2 linked regions of the Ovis aries genome follow. The protein of the gene in region 1 binds, or shares a complex with, the protein of each later gene. Links are inferred from orthologs where the notes say so. Each region holds a gene or a part of one and is shown on either strand. Other genes may lie near its edges. The genes, in order: LZTS1 and ASB7.

Region 1 (3,817 bases):
GGAACGCTGTTTTGTTGTGTGGTGCTCTTATGATTGGAATATAGGATGTATTTATTCATGTCATAGCTACTTTAGCCTTCAAGATGACAATGCATGTTTGAATCTGAGCCTTCATCTTCAGAGTCTGAAGAGTCTTCTGGCTCCCTCAGCTGTGCCCATAATACCCCCTTCTCACCCACGTGGGATGTCTTCTGCCCCTTTCAGGTGACAGGGTAATTTAGAGCAGAATAAAGAATGCAGGGTTCCTTCTGCATTTCCTATTTTATTAAACTCGCCGTGTCCCTCCCTTCCCCCCGCTTCTTAATTGAATCATCTGTCTTTTGACTGACTGAGATACTCCTTCTCAATGCATGGCAATCACACAGCATTTCCAAGCTCTGAAAATCAGGTGACCCGGGCTTGAGCGATTCGCCTACATCCGCGAGGGTGTCCGCACTGCCTTCTGGTGCATTCCTCTGTCTGGTGACTGGCAAGGCCGTTGTTATCGTTTTCAGCGTTGATGATAAGATGCAGTGCTGTTACTTAAAAAAAAAACCCTAAGTGTATCTCAGAATTGGTTTGTGACACTGAAGGTAAAGATGTAAGAGAGTTTGCCTTCCACATCATAGCTGGCAGGGAGCATAACTGGGAATCCAAACCAAGTCGCCCATGTTACTATTCATTGTTCAAGAGTACAGTTGTTTCTCTCTTCTTCTTGTGAGCCCTCTCCAGTCAGGCCTTTGCTTGCACCATTCCACCAAAACCACTCTTGTCAAGGTCACTGGTGCCTCCGCACAGCCAAATCCATTGACCAATTCTTAGTTGCCATCTTAGTTCAGCATCACTTGACACCATCTTCATCCTTACATTTCACGGGTCTCCTGCATGTCTGTCAAAGATCCGTTAGTGTCTCTTCCTCATTCCCACTCATCTTCCTGGCCTCTGTGAACCAGTCCTCATATTTCTCTTGCCTTCTTGCCCTTGCTTTTTCATCTAGTCTCAGACCTAGCTCCGAGACTGTGCACAAACAACTCACACAGGGAAATCTGCAGCCTGCCCTGCTCCACACCCATCCTACTCCACATCACTGCTTGGATCTCTAATGGGCTTTGCAATCTTAATGTCTTAAACCAAAGTACTATTTCCACCCCCTCTTCATCCTAAACTGGTTCCTTTTGTGGTCTTTTGCATCTCAATAAATGGCAACTTACTTCTTCTGGATACTTGGATAAAAAACATTGAAGTCATCCTAGATTCCACTCTTTCCCTCCCTGCATTCAATCTTTTAACTAGTACCATCAGCTCAACCTTAAAATTACATCTGAAATTGAATCCAGGGCTGCCCTGCTTGCTCAGTGGTAAAGAATCCACTTACCAGTGCAGGAGACATGGGTTCAATTCCTGGTCTGGGAAGATCCCACATGCGGCAGAGCAACTAAGCCTGTGTGGCACAAATATTGAGCCTGTGTCCTAGAGCCCAGGAGCCGCAACTACTGAGCCCAGTTGCCACAGCTACTGAAGCCCGTGCAACCCAGAGCCCATGCCCTGCAACGAGAGAAGCCACTGCAATGAGAAGCCCGTGCACCGCAACTAGAGAAAAGCCCACAAAGTCGCGAAGAGCCAGCACAGTCAAGACTAAGTAATTAAAAATAAAATTGAAGAGAAATCGAATCCACAGCCAGCACCCTAGCCTAGCCATGTTAGTCACTCAGCTGCTGTAACAGGCCCAGCACCTCCAACTCAAGCTCTTCAGTGGCTCTTTTCTGTACAGCAGCCAGAGTGACCCTCCACAACCCAAGTCAGACCAAGTTGTCAGCTGCTTAAACTCATCTGGGGGCTTCTTATCTCAGACTAAAGCCAAAACCTTTATGGCCAGTCAGGCTCTCTTTTGCCTGGCACCTACGAGCTCTCTGACGTCTGTGTCCTCCAAACCCCCACTGCTAACTACCTTCCAGCCAGACTGGCCTCCTTGCTGGTCTCACAAATGCCCAACACATTCCACTCAGGGACTCAGGGCTTTGCACTTGGGGCTACCCCTGAGCTTCCTCTTTCTCCCCACAGATCTCCTTACATAGCTTTCTCCTTCATTTTCTTGGGGTCTCTTCAAATGACACCAAACAGAGAGGTTTCCTCTGTTTTCCCTGCATAAAAGAACCACTTCCCCTTCCTGGTGGCTCAGACGGTAAAGAGTCTGCCTGTGGTGTGGGAGACCTGGGTTCGATTCCTCGGTCGGGAAGATCCCCTAGAGAAGGGAATGGCTACCCATTCCAGTATTCTTGCCTGGAAAAGTCTACGGACAGAGAAGCCTTACGGGCTATAGTCCATGGGGTCACAAGAAGTCTGAGTGAGCGACTAGTACAACAGAATTCCATCCCATTCACTTGGCTTTATTTCCCCTGAAGCACACAGATCACTTGAGGTCACACACATTGATCTGTTTATGGCCTGTCCACCCTTCACCACACACAAGCCCCGTGAGTGCAGGGACTGGAACTGTTCACCCCTGCATCCCAGTGCTGAGAAGCGAGCCGTCTCAAAAAAGACGTGGGACATACATACAATGGGACATTACTCATTAAAAAGAATGAAATAAGGCCATTTGCGGCAACATGAATGAACCTAGAGAGTATCATACTGAGTGAAGTAAGTCAGACAGAGAAGGAGAAATATATGACATCCCTTTTATGTGGAATCTAAAAAGAAATGATACAAACGAGCTGGCTTACGAAACAGGAAAAAACTAACAGACTTAGAAAACAAACTCACAGTTGCTGGGGGGGAAGGGATAGTTACGGACTTTTGGAAGGTCATGTACCCACTGCTATATTTAAAGCAAATAACCAACAAAAACCTTTGTACACCACATGGAACTCTATTCAGTGTTATGTGCCAGCCTGGATGGGAGGCGGGTTTGAGGGGAGAATGGGTCCATGCATATGTATGGCTGAGTCCCTTTGTTATTCACCTGAAACTATCACACGTTGTTAATCAGCTATACCCTAATACAAAATGTTTTTGGTGTTAAAAAAAAAGAATAAAAATTAAAAAAAAAAAAAAGAAGAAGAGAGTCATCCCATTGGAGGCTTCCAGCAGATGTTTGCTGAATTAGAGGACAAAGGAAGAATGAGAGGGGAGCCCATTGAGACAGAGACAGGGCTGAGCCTCTGTTAGGGGAAAACACGCATTTTGCTGCTGCCCAGATCTCGAGGTTGGTCACGAGTGGGGATGTGCCATGGCCAGCCCATCCAGGCTGACTTCTGCTTATGTCTCCTTCCAGGTCTCAGCTCTCCCAGGCTCTGTGAGGCTTCTGCTATGACTGCAGTCTCTTCTCGGAGCCAGGACTGCCCCTCACCGCCCCTGCCACGCCAGGTCCCCACTCTGCCCCAGCTGTCCTCGGCCCCCGTGTTGCCATGGGCAGCGTCAGCAGCCTCATCTCCGGCCACGGCTTCCACAGCAAGCACTGCCGGGCCTCGCAGTACAAGCTGCGCAAGTCTTCCCACCTCAAGAAGCTCAACCGCTATTCAGACGGGCTGCTGAGGTTCGGCTTCTCCCAAGACTCAGGGCATGGCAAGTCCAGCTCCAAAATGGGCAAGAGCGAAGACTTCTTCTACATCAAGGTCAGCCAGAAGGCCCGGGGCTCCCACCGCCCTGATTACACGGCACTGTCCAGTGGGGACCTAGGGGGCCAGGCAGGGGTGGACTTCGACCCGTCCACCCCCCCAAAGCTCTTGCCCTTCTCCAATCAGCTAGAGATGGTAAGTGGAGGGGTCTCTGGTGTGGGTGGCTGGATTGGAAAGTCAGGAAAGAGGCCTGGGGCTGAGAGCGGCGGTGGTGAAGG
Region 2 (3,817 bases), on another chromosome or scaffold:
GAACACACTGTCAGGTGTCCGGTATTCTAAATTTTATGTATTGTGCCTACCCTTCAAGGCTGATCCCTGTGACCTAATGAATCCTTTGTAAAAAAACGTGGACTCAGCTAGGATGTTACACCACCATTGTCGAAGGAACCCTGAACTCCAGGAAGAGTTGCAGATTCAAGCTGCAGTGGCTGCCGGGGATGTTCACACAGTGCGGAAGATGTTAGAGCAAGGCTACTCTCCAAATGGCCGAGATGCTAATGGCTGGACCCTGCTTCATTTCTCTGCAGCAAGAGGAAAGGAAAGATGTGTTCGAGTATTTCTAGAGCATGGAGGTGAGTTTACTGGGAGCAAACCTTTTTTCCCCAAGAAGAAACAAATGAAATTCTGTTTAGTTTAAAGTAATGTGTGCATGTGTATATGTTTTTTCTAATACTCGACTTCTTCTTCTCTCCTTTGTTATAATTATGCTGTTTTGTTTAAAACCAGGTTGTCTAAAAAATTGGTTTGATGAATGTGCTTTTTTTCCCCTTGTAACTCTAGTTTCTATATAGCCAGATTTCCCCAGATTATTTCAACTAAAAGCAACCCTTCTTTAGGTTGTCCACTTGCTTTGTTTCAGAAGCAGAAGTGGCTGTGGTCCCAACAACTAAGAATTGCTCAAGTTCCCCCTGTTGAGAATTGCTCAAGCAGACAGAGATACCATAGGCCCCTATAAATACCATGGCCTTCATGATACCCTATCTTTTGAATTTACCTCTTCTAAAAGCATTTTTAGATGCTTTTATTACTGTTTTAGCTCTTGCCTTTTCTAGAATTGTACATAGTTTCTAGATATCCTACAAGATTATCTGAGGTCTAATTTTATATGCAGTTGGAAGCTACATTTACCATTTTATGTTCTTGCTTTGAAAAACTGTCCATTCCCATAATTAATAGTAACTAATAATTGTCTTAAACTCACTTGTTTCCGTATTAGATTTCCACTTAATTTATTTTCCTAGATTTACACTTGTACAAGTGTACAAGATGAACAAACATATTTTTTTGTACTAATATTATTTTCATAAATTATGATGTAAAGCAGCTTAGTTGGAACTCAGGATTCATTATGTACTACTCTAGGGCCTGGATTGCTTATTAACAATCATTTAGTTCCATTTCTGTGCTGTACTTTTGACTAGTCAAACTTGGAAACTATTTTGAAGTACAGAAAATGTTAGAAGTCGCACAGCTGTCATTAGGGTCTTGTGAATTATGTGAAGATAGGAATATGAAGGCTGTGAGCGTGGACTAACTGCTGGGCACTGCTAAACTGAGACTAGGAATCATCACATGTCTTAGTGGCCCTGAAATAAGAATTATGTCCCCAAAATAGTTGGCCATTGACAGGACCCCACCATTCGCTGGCCTGGGCCTCTTTTGTGGCTGTCCTATGCCCCTCCCTGTGGCCCTTGCTCATGCCTCAATTCGCCTTCAAACTTGAAAACGTCAGTGCGGAAGGCCGTGAAGGAGTACTGTATGAGGAATGCCAGAAGAAAGATCTGGAAAAACTAAGAAGTGGGTGTAGAGTCAGAATAGTTAAAATTCTGACACTGCTTCAGCAAAATAAGGAACAGACTCAGATTTTCAAATTCTGCCTAGTTGTGTTACTTTCTGCATCTGTCAGCCTTGCTTTTAACAAACTAATTAAAAAGGAAAGGTCAGTTACTCAGGTAATGTATGAACTTGTCTCCTTAAAACAAATAAAACACAATTTCAAATAAATTATAAATAAAGCCAAAGTCCCCTTTGGTCAGCTCCCAACCCGTGTCTGCCCACCCCTGCCTGGAAGTAACTCATGGCTCTAAGTTTGGTTTGGTCCTATTTTTCTAGATCATTTCCTAACATACTTCTAGAAAATACATCTTATTGTGTTGTCTGTGGTTTTAGAATATAAATTATATACTGACTGTGTTAAAATTCTGCAACTGTTATTTTTTGCTCAGCTATATGTAACTTAAGAATTTTTTAAATGTTAGGTTGGCAGACTTTTTCTGTAAAAGGCCAGATAGTAAATATTTGGGGCTTTGCAAGCCCTTCTTTTTCTGTTGTTAGCTGCTCAGCTCTGCCTTTGTGGCATGAAAGCTGTCATATACAGTGTGAAGGAATGAATGTAGCTGTGTGCTGGTTAAACTTTATCTATAAACACCAGTGGTGTTCTAGATTTGGCCTCTGGGTCCAGTTTGCTGAGCTCTATTTCTCCCCCCAAACCCTACTCTCTGTTTCTGTATATATGTGTATATAGATATTTTTTTAACAGCTTTTATTGAGAAATAATTCACAAACCTTACAATTTGCCCTTTTCAAGTATACAATTTAGTAGATTTTGATGTATTCATAGAGTTGCGCATCTTTCACCACAACCAACTTTGAAACATTTCCATTACCCCGAAAAGAAGTCTTGTCCCACGAAGAAGTCTTGCACCTATCCCATAGTTATGCATGCCAGTTTGTGTGTGTGTGTTTAGTCACTCAGTTACATCCAACTCGCTGTGACACCATGGACTGTAGCCTGCCAGGCTCCTCTGTCCATGGAATTCTTCAGGCAAGAATCCTGGAATGGGTTGCCATTTCCTCCTCCAGGAGTCTTCCTGGCCAGGGATCAAACCCACATCTCTTGATTCTCCTGCATTGGCGACAGATTCTTTACCACTGTGCCACCTGGGAAGCATATATAGGTTTTCTCTGTTCTTTTCAACTGCTCAGTTCACTTCAATTCAGTTCAGTTCAGCAGTCGTGTCCGACTCTTTGCGACCCCATGAATCACAGCACACCAGACCTCCCTGTCCATCACCATCTCCCGGAGTTCACTCAGACTCATGTGCGTCGAGTCAGTGATGCCATCCAGCCATCTCATCCTCTGTCGTTCACTTCTCCTCCTGCCCCCAATCCCTCCCAGCATCACAGTCTTTTCCAATGAGTCAACTCTTCGCATGAGGTGGCCAAAGTATTGGAGTTTCAGCTTCAGCATCAGTCCTTCCAATGGACACCCAGGACTGATCTCCTTTAGGATGGACTGGTTGGATCTCCTTGCAGTCCAAGGGACTCTCAAGAGTCTTCTCCAACACCACAGTTCAAAAGCATCAATTCTTTGGTGCTCAACTTTCTTCACTGTCCAACTCTTATATCCAAACATGACAACTGGAAAAAACATAGCCTAGACTAGACAGACCTTTGTTGGCAAAGTAATATCTCTGCTTTTGAATATGCTATCTAGGTTGGTCATAACTTTCCTTCCAAGGAGTAAGGGTCTTTTAATTTCATGGCTGCAGTCACCATCTGCAGTGGTTTTGGAGCCCAGAAAAATAAAGTCTGACACTGTTTCCCCATCTGTTTCCCATGAAGTGATGGGACCAGATGCCATGATCTTCGTTTTCTGAATGCTGAGCTTTAAGCCAACTTTTTCACTTTCCTCTTTCATTTTCATCGAGAGGCTCTTTAGTTCTTCTTCACTTTCTGCCATAAGAATGGTGTCATCTGCATATCTGAGGTTATTGATATTTCTCCCAGCAATCTTGATTCTAGCTTGTGCTTCTTCTAGCCCAGCGTTTCTCATGATGTGCTCTGCATAGAAGTTAAATAAGCAGGGTGGCAATATACAGCCTTGTACTTCTTTTCCTGTTTGGAACCAGTCTGTTGTTCCATGTCCAGTTCTAACTGTTGCTTCCTGACCTGCATACAGATTTCTCAAGAGGCAGGTCAGGAGGTCTGGTATTCCCATCTCTTTCAGAATTTTCCACAGTTCATTGTGATCCACTCAGTCAAAGGCTTTGGCATAGTCAATAAA

What was found.
Region 2: the proteins of LZTS1 (region 1) and ASB7 are in contact, whole or in part, in a crystal structure (PDB 8Y1U), measured with the Homo sapiens proteins. The link is inferred for Ovis aries from reciprocal best matches to the Homo sapiens genes LZTS1 and ASB7. Residues at the interface, in NP_001349813.1 of Homo sapiens: Arg346, Glu348, Leu349, Leu352, Met353, Glu355, Gln356, Leu358, Leu359, Glu360, Lys362, Leu363, Arg364, Ser365, Tyr366; in NP_937886.1 of Homo sapiens: Asn46, Trp48, Ala56, Ile79, Phe82, Tyr87, Met90, His91, Asp116, Trp118, Val123, His126, Tyr127, Ser147, Lys149, Thr151, Gln155, Leu156, Ile159, Arg160, Phe182, Arg185, Tyr186, Ile189, Lys190, Arg210, Leu220, Leu223.

Annotation. Positions count from the first base shown.
Region 1 is NC_056055.1:45,556,851-45,560,667, forward strand, and holds part of LZTS1 (leucine zipper putative tumor suppressor 1), read left to right. Parts: intron 1-3,256; 5' UTR 3,257-3,389; coding exon 3,390-3,734; intron 3,735-3,817. UniProt on the Homo sapiens protein: Involved in the regulation of cell growth. May stabilize the active CDC2-cyclin B1 complex and thereby contribute to the regulation of the cell cycle and the prevention of uncontrolled cell proliferation. May act as a tumor suppressor.
Region 2 is NC_056071.1:5,418,360-5,422,176, reverse strand, and holds part of ASB7 (ankyrin repeat and SOCS box protein 7), read left to right. Parts: intron 1-58; 5' UTR 59-112; coding exon 113-323; intron 324-3,817. UniProt on the Homo sapiens protein: Probable substrate-recognition component of a SCF-like ECS (Elongin-Cullin-SOCS-box protein) E3 ubiquitin-protein ligase complex which mediates the ubiquitination and subsequent proteasomal degradation of target proteins.